2 linked regions of the Nothobranchius furzeri genome follow. The protein of the gene in region 2 interacts with the protein of the main gene of each other region in a biochemical or structural test. Links are inferred from orthologs where the notes say so. Each region holds a gene or a part of one and is shown on either strand. Other genes may lie near its edges.

The links.
Region 1: the proteins of tal1 (region 2) and lmo2 form a complex in vitro, tested with the Homo sapiens proteins (2 studies listed by BioGRID). The link is inferred for Nothobranchius furzeri from reciprocal best matches to the Homo sapiens genes TAL1 and LMO2.

Annotation. Positions count from the first base shown.
Region 1 is NC_091744.1:61,982,961-61,987,393, forward strand, and holds the start of lmo2 (rhombotin-2), read left to right. Parts: upstream 1-1,474; 5' UTR 1,475-1,620; coding exon 1,621-1,661; intron 1,662-4,433. UniProt on the Homo sapiens protein: Acts with TAL1/SCL to regulate red blood cell development. Also acts with LDB1 to maintain erythroid precursors in an immature state.
Region 2 is NC_091751.1:54,506,194-54,510,659, forward strand, and holds the start of tal1 (T-cell acute lymphocytic leukemia protein 1), read right to left. Parts: upstream 2,936-4,466; 5' UTR 2,828-2,935; coding exon of another isoform or gene 2,778-2,827; intron 1,864-2,777; 5' UTR 1,735-1,863; coding exon 1,184-1,734; intron 878-1,183; coding exon 759-877; intron 1-758. UniProt on the Homo sapiens protein: Implicated in the genesis of hemopoietic malignancies. It may play an important role in hemopoietic differentiation. Serves as a positive regulator of erythroid differentiation.

The DNA.
Region 1 (4,433 bases), on a different chromosome or scaffold from region 2:
ACCCGTTCAAAACATTCAATTAGTTTGTGAACGTCACATAACTACTGCTTCACCGATTGCCTGTATTGGCATGACAGCTGCCGTTTTGATAACACAAGTTCAAACAATTAATCCATTTGTTCAGTTAATAAAAACTTTTAATTTAAATGGACAACCATACATGTCTAACTCAAGTTTATAAGTTAACATAATGTAGAATTGTGTGTATGTTTAACAAGACAAAATGATTTTTCCACTTTGTAATCTAATAAGATTTGTTGTTTCGACTCATAATATAATATTCAAACAAAGTTATTATTTATGATATTTGTAAAACTTGACATATAGAGTTGAAAGTTTTCATTTAAGTTGACATGACTCAAGTTTTTAAGGCAGCTGTTGAACTTTCGTTTTTAAGTTATTCTGTCCTACAATTTATTACAGTGTACAGTTTGCTTCTGATCTTCATGCACTGTTTCTGACTGCTGGAACTAAAGCGCTTTATCTGTCCTCACAGTCCAACTGATGTGTGTGTCCCTCCCTCTTTTACCCTGCAGCTCTGGCACTAGATAAGACATGTCCACTGGCGCTTTGGTTTGAAAAGGAAAGTGTGCCAAAAACGACAAGAAATACATTTTATTATAGGGGTAAAAGATTAGTATATATATTTTTTTAATAAATCATATTTTTCATTCTAGAACGTTCTATAGTCATTCTAGACTCGTTAAGCTTTGCTGGCAAATTTCTGAAGAGAAAAATGTAAAAATCAGAACTTTAAATTTCACACATTATCTTTGAAGGGTAATGTTCCTCTTCACAGCGTCTGCGTAAATGTACGAGGTGTGCACATTATTTAAATTTGAACATTACATTTCCTTATTTAAAGCAGAAATTCAGCACATCTGTTTAATGTTGAGGAATGTGGCACAAAAATGCAGCACAAGCTCAATTTGAGATGATTCTAAATTTTCTTTATTCATTTATTTGCAAAACAGCAGGCCACATATTCTAGAACAAAACATAAGAATATATTTTTATTTGCCTTTGACATGAACAGTTTAGATGTTTTACTTGCATTAATTACAGACAAAGCAAAGGAAGACATGATGGGCAGATAAAACTACCAGCAGGTGTTTTTATCAGCTCAGCTCCTGCAGCAGATGGACTCATTAGTCAGTCACGACCATCACGACCCTCTGCACGACTCACAGACCAGCAGCTCTGCTGTCGCTTTAAGACCCGTTTCCCCTCATTGTGAAGCGCTGAAACAGGAAGAGAGAAGCGAAAGCAAAGCCCGAAGGGCCCCAATGTATTTAAACGCGCTGCTGCTGCAGCTGCTGGCCACTCGGACACGCACTACTTCCTCCCCGCAGAACCCTCCTTATCGAACCGCACTGGCGCGGTTCTTCTAGTCGCTGTGGGACCTGCAAGGCATGGAAGTGTTGCTGCCTCAGGAAATGATGACAGCGTCCTCCTCCATCGGCGTCTAGCTGATTAGAGAGGGAGCTGTTCTTGTTCTGCATCTGTTGGAAACAAGGGAGCTGCTTCTTGAGTTCGCTTTTTATTTCCAGCGATCTGAAAGTGGTTTTTACCAGGGGTGCAGGTGCAGCGCGCCTTCCAGTATCCAGATCAGGCTCGAGAATGACTTCTACCATAGAGAGGAAAACACTGGAAGCAAACGAGTAAGTCAACTAAAATAAACACATTCTATCAGAAAACTATCCCACGTGCAAGACGATGAGATCAGATGTTTCTGCTTATAATATTCATAAAGAAAATTTAAGGAAAAATTAAAGAAACGGATGTAAGGTAAAACTAAACTAAACTACATGTTTAGAGTCAGATGTTGCAGCCATAATGGGAACAGGAGTTGTAACATAAGTGTATTAAGGCACACTGTAAAGGCGTTGGACCAAGGTTGAAACTCGCTTTACACTGGGAATGCTGGCCAGAGCATTACTTAAAGCCCCTCAGAATATAAAGAAGATGAGTCATAATTGTAGTTGTGCGCCTGGCTTCTTTATTATAGCCCATAGGTTAGGACAAGTAAATCAGGATAGCAGTTGATAGACATGATAGCTCATGGGTGTGGTTTTCCTGCAGAATGACAAATATGACGTATGTATAACTTAACCTTATTAAACAATTAACACACATCAGAATATTAACCTTCCGCCACCACATCATCAGTTAATAACCATACTAAACAGTCAGAGGTCACTAAATCATCATCATCTGCTCACATAAAGCCACTATATTAAGGTTTGTCAAGTTAACCTTGACGTCGTCGGTCAACTTCCGGTCTGTAAACAAAAGAGTGCTTTTATTTTCCCGACTGGGTACTTCCGGTGGCGGGTTAGCTTAGCTCAGATACTCTGAACCAACTCCCATTCCCGCACTGTAACAACACCGCTGTACTTCTCTACATTCCCGTATACTCATACAAAGCACATTCATGCCTCCTCGTACGACACCAGCAGACCAGCGCCGATCGGTCCCGAGGGAAGGTATATCAACAGCGTTTTCACAGGGACAGGAAATGCATAATAATTAACTCGATAGCCATAATCAGTCCAACATTGCACTTACTGTTCATCCACGCACACACTCGACCATGTCCCGGTGCTATCCCCCAGGCAGCAACATATCGCAGAGAGGAACCCGGGACACAAACTAGAGCTACGTAAACCTCGAGAGATATGAACCTAAAGCCATTTTATCTCTATCTCTAGCTGGACTTCTGGAGCAGACTTCCGGCCAACTACAAAATAAGCGTAACAAAGGGAATGTTTTCCCAAAATGCAAGACTTTGAGGGCTTTTCTACAATAAGCCAAGATCAAAAATCCATTCATTTTTGTCTGCTTATCTTGGGTCAGGTCATGGGGGGTAGCAGCCCAACTAGAAAGTCCCAGACTTCCCTTTCTCCTGCCATTTGGGCCAGCTCTTCATGAGGAAGCCCAAGGTGTTTCCTGGCCAGACGAGAAACATAGTCCCTCCAGCGTGTCTTGGGTCTTCCTGTCTTGTAGTTGGATTTACCCAGAAAGCCTCACCAGGGAGGTGTCCAGGAGGCATCCTAACTAGATGCCTGAGCCACATCAACTGGATCCTCTTGATGTAGAGAAGCAGCGGATCTACTCCAAGCCCCTCCTGGATGACCGAGCTGCTCACCCCATCTCTAAAGACACCCTGCAGAGAAAACTAAATTCGGCTGCATGTATTCACAATCTCATACCCAGAGCTAGTGACCATAGGTGAGGGTTGGAACATAGATTGACCGGTAAATTGAGACGCTCAGCTTCCGGCTCAGCTCTCTCTTCACCACAACAGACCAGTACAACGCCCACGTCACAGCAGACGCAGCACCAGTCCACCTATTGATCTTGTCCTCCATCTTTCCCTCACTCATGAACAAGACCCTGAGACATGTAAACTCCTCCACTTTAAGCAGGACCTTGTCCCTGACCTGGAGAAGGCATTTACCTTTTTCCGGCTGAAGATCAACTGTTAAAAGATAGAAAAGAAATATTAAATATTACTTGCATATTTTAAAATAAATGTTTCAAAAGTTCTGGAAAAACATCTTCGTTGTTTGATCCGATCAAGTGTTTCAAGAATCCTTTTCACATTTTTAGTAGTAGCAACATATTATTTTTCATTTTTTTAAAGAAAATTCCTAAACAATATTCCTGATAGGTGTGTATGAGTCATATCTTACATCCTTTACTAACTCAGGACCAGTGGTGCTGCAAGATTGTCATGGGGTTCCAAGCAAACACTGCAGACTGGAAAGTGTGCTGCAGTTTATTTGAGCGTGGGAGTGGGGGGTGCACAGACAGAAATGTGTGGCAGAGCAGTGAGGGGGAGGAGGAGTGCCCTGTTGGGTAGTGTGAGACAGCCCAAGTTATGTCAAATTACAGCTTTTCACAGTCCCATAGAGCTCCGGGAGTTGACGTCACATCTCCCGGCATGCAACAGTTCAAATCGAAACGGCGCCATATTGGCATGCAGAAGCCGGCAGCTGGACTATTTGTTATTGTCAGAAAATTCAATCAAACGGGAAATATGGTAGATTCCTGTTGTGCCCCAGGATGCAGAACAGACGCGGACGACATAAGGAATGAGTCATCTACAGGATTCCCCAAGTTCCGGAGCGCCGCAAACGTTGGATCATTGTAATAAAACACGTTAGTGACCGGGATAAAATGAAGCTGTGGGATCCCGAGAGTAAAGGTTTTCGCTTATGCAGCGACCGCTTCATATCAGGTACTTAAACAACGTGTCCTCAACTGTGTATGGTATTTATTTTAAATGCTTTTATTACGATTCTTAGTGGGCTTCCTAAACTTATTTTGGCGTGGCTTTTTCTGTCTTATTACTCATAGCAACAAGTGAACATCACGTAAAACGTTGCCTCGTGAGTTCTGCGTGCTGCCGTTTACGTGTTTTATGATCA
Region 2 (4,466 bases):
CAGAATAAATGGAAAACAGGGAAGAGGACAGAGACAGTAAGGACACTGCAGATAAAGCTTGTTACAGAAAACGTGGCAGGTGCAAAAAGCCAACAGAAAACAGATGCACAACATTTGTGACAACATTTTCTAAAGCAAAAGTTGCAAAGCTGTCCTCCATACAGCCATGGGTTATTAGAAATCTTGCATAAAGTTTCCAGACGTTACACAAGAAATCTTTTATTCATGGGGTCTGAGGGGGTTGTGTTCACCCCACTGAGCACTCTCTGTACAATGTATTTTGTCAGGCATAATAAAATGCTTCACTGCAGGTAGTTAGATCTTCCCACCCCCAGTAATGGTGTCTTTGGGGCTATTGTTTCCTCTGGAACACACCCAGTCTATCTTAATCCCTCAGCCCACTCTGCAGCAAAACCTTGGCATGGAGGCAGCAGCACCCCCATCCTCCTCTCCTGTGGCTGGGAGTGGGCAGCAGCAAAACAATTAGAAATGTTCCAAATCAAAATTACTTCCAATTTGCCTGAGAAAGGTATGTTTTAATGATATAAAGGTATATGAATTTGGCTACAAACGGAAATAATTTGTGCCAGAAATGGCATTCTTCATTCCTCGCTGGATCATTTTCTTTTTTAATAAAGCATCTTCTGCAACACTCAGTGCAGAAGCTGCATTGGTCCATGTCAGTGGATGAATGACAATGGAGATGAAGAAGGGACATTTTATTGGCAGAAGGAGGACACAGCAGAAGTGCATCTTACCATACTTATAAAGATCTAAAATGCGCCTACCCTCGTCGAGTTCAACCTCATAAGGCGCCGGGCGGCGCTTTACCCTGTTGCTGGGGTACATGCTGTACTGCTCTGACTCTCCTCCAAGACTGCAGGAAAAGAAAGCGCACAAGTTTTAAACAAATATGAGGATATGGGCATTTTAAAATCACCATAAACACACACACACACACACACACACACACACACACACACACACACACACACACACACACACACACACACACACACACACATGCATCTGTATCAGAGAAAACAGCATTTATCCAAATATCTACACCTCAGGTGTCTTTTACTTCACACCTAAAAGGCCACACAGACCCAACATTAATCCAACTTCAGAGGTGAAAACTTAAATTACACGGAGCATGCGTGATAGCCAATCTCTCCCTGACCTGTTGATGGCGGCAAGAGGCTGCGCCAGGTTGTAGAGCATCGCCCGCGCCGGGACAGGAAACGCGTTTGGGCTCAGTTGGACCATTCGAGCGTCGTCTCGTTGCGGCGGTGGTAGCGGCAGCGGTGGAGGTCTGCGAAGTTCCGTGATCGGCACCAAATGGCTTTCAGTCCTGCGCTGCACCGCCTTTATAGCGTCCCTCCTGGAGAGCTCGATCACCGGCACTTCCCTTTTCAGGTCTAGGGCGTTGTGAGGGGCAGTTTCCTTGGCAACGCCGTTAATGATGATGCTGATGCTGGTCCCGTTGCTCGAGTTCTGCAGCGGAACGTCATCCGTCTCCTCAACCCCTTTGAAGAAACCCCCCCTCCCCTTCTCCTCTTCCTCCTCCTCATCATCATCCTCATTCTCTTCTTCCCTCTTTTCTCTCCGCGGCTCTTCGTCCTTCTTGTATCCGTTCTGTCTGGAGATGATGGCGGAGCCCTCGCGCCTTCCAGGGCCGGATCCTGCGTCGGGACTTCCAGGACAAAGCTCCTGCTCCTTTTTTTCCATCATTTTGAAACCGTGGCCCCTATTGCAGTCCCGCTGTATCCTAAATAAAATGCCCCTCGATTAATTCATCGCCGGAACATGACTTGTGGCAGACACGTCGAAAATGATGAGCAGTTTGATGTCCTTGGGAGTCTTTGGAGGAAAAATTAATAATTAATCGACTTTTTTCCCGAAAAACCGCTACATCTGGACAAATTGTGTGATTAAACGGGTTTACACATTTCTAATTATCTGACAAATGCCAATAAATAACTGCTGCATTTTATTTTGTTAATGTGTTTTTGCTGCTAAATTAACAAAAGAGGCATTTTTCCTACAGGAATGTGTGTTTAGGTTTAAATAGCTCACTTAACTCATTATTATAGAACAGAGATTTGACAATGAAGAAATCACTTTAACACAAAATACCACATTTAAAACATTTTTGTAATCTATTACATCTATTTGTGTGTTTTCTGTACTTATATTTAACGTTTTTATACAGTTTAGCTTTTTATATACGTTCAGATGAGAGTTACCTTTAATCAAAGAGATACGTTTGGGTTTATTTAAATGTATTTTAAAGCAGATCCTCGACTCTCACACAAACATTACTACCAGAAGAGCTTGGTAAAACCGTTATGCGTCGAAATCTTTTCATGTCTGCCCTTAATAATTACAGAATACCAAAAATAAGCAACAGAAGAAAACAGTTAAACATCATTTTGCTTTTCTCTTCCATAAAGGCCGGAATGCTTATGTTATTATAACCAAACAACACAGAAGCTTATAATAAAACCAGGTGTTTCTTCAGTGATTAGAAGACAAACGTCATCGGAATGTATTTTTAAATCGAACAACCAATTATCCAGAAAAGACGCACTTTTATTTTAGGGGATTCTCCCGCAGGCCTCGTCTCCGTTATTCCTTCTCATCCGATCGCAGGAAAAAAAGACGGATAATTTCTCTTATTAGACCAATAAATCGACTCCGATAGTAGATATTTTGCATCACTTGGAGTAGAAAATAGAACGATTTAAATATGGGTAGGTGATTTTGGCACTTACCGTTCCAGTCGTGTTGATGTTACTGTGGAGCCATTTTGTGAGTGGGTCATCCATGTCTGAGGTTTTTCTTTTTTTCCCAGCCAGTTGTTAAGCAGTGTGTGTGTGTGTGTGTGTGTGTGTGTGTGTGTGTGTGTGTGTGTGTGTGTGTGCGTGTGTGTGCGTGTGTGTGCGTGTGTGCGCGCGCAGCTGAGTTATTCCCCGCCGCATCCAGTGCGCTCCCTCTGTAAGGGGAGCGGAACACAGGCCGCAATGTGGCCGAGTGAGATAAGCGCGCGGCAGCGGCCTCTTCATTCGCGATAAGCCCCTAAACCCATTATTTATGAAATGATTCATTATTATTTGGCTGTCGTGGGCTATATAGTCTTGTGGAGGGCAAGCCATGAAAAAAAGCAAACAGACACAGCGCAACGGCCTGTAACAACGTGAGGCAGCAGACTGTACTGCCTGAGCTGCATTAAGGTGTTTTTATTTTTTTATTTTCTCACGATATAAACAAAAGCTCGGGTTGAGCCCAGCGCTTAAATTATATTCTCTTGAGAAAAGGAGGCACTAGTTAAGCCCAATTATGAAACAATAACCTGATAAAATCACGTGATCATTTGCTCATTTGTTTATGATCACAGAACCTACATTGAGTTTTCCCCTTGCTCCGGGATGGATAATTGTCTGAAGGAGCGACTCTGTCAACTGATAATGAATAACTAAATTAATAGACAACAAGGAAACTAACTAACTAACTAACTAACTAACTAACTAACTAACTAAATAAATAAATAAATAAATAAATTGCCGGCCACCACTCCCTTGGGGGTTTGTAGTCGTGGCTTGGAGAGATAAAGGACAAAAAAAAAAAGACAGAAAAGGCCTCTGGCTCTGGAGGCATCAGATAACCGGGCAGAGCATCAACTGTGACACTCTATCACGGTGACGTTTCGGCCAGCAGGTACATCCCTAATAACGAATATATTCATTCTGCAGGTGAAACGAATATATATATATATATATATATATATATATATATATATATATAATTACCTTAGGCAGGTGTAAAAAATAGCCTGACCAGCCAGCCTATGCGTCTTTGTGGGAAGTATAGCTCTCTGTAAACAGAGGACGTGTCTGGCAGGTCAGGCTGGTGATTAAAGGCTGTAAACAAAGGATGCTTTCAGTCATTTAGTAATGGTCGTTTATTTGGATCATTTACAAAATGCAAAGTGGGTGACCCCAAACATATCCAGTCTAAGTAATTAAGAACTATCTTCAGTATAGATAGATAGATAGATAGATAGATAGATAGATAGATAGATAGATAGATAGATAGATAGATAGATAGATAGATAGATAGATAGATAGATAGATAGATAGATAGAGAGAGAGAGAGAGAGAGAGAGAGAGAGAGAGAGAGAGAGAGAGAGAGAGAGAGAGAGAGAGATAGATAGATAGATAGATAGATAGATAGATAGATAGATAGATAGATAGATAGATAGATAGATAGATAGATAGATAGATAGATAGATAGATAGAAAACAAAAGTCAGATAATTTTTTTAAAAACATAATTAATTTAATCGATTTTCAAACAGAACCGCATGATTGAAAATAAGTCTACACACTTTATGACAGCAACAATAATTTTCACTTAAAATATCTCAATTCAACATCCTGGCCCAAATCGAACAAAAATAAATAT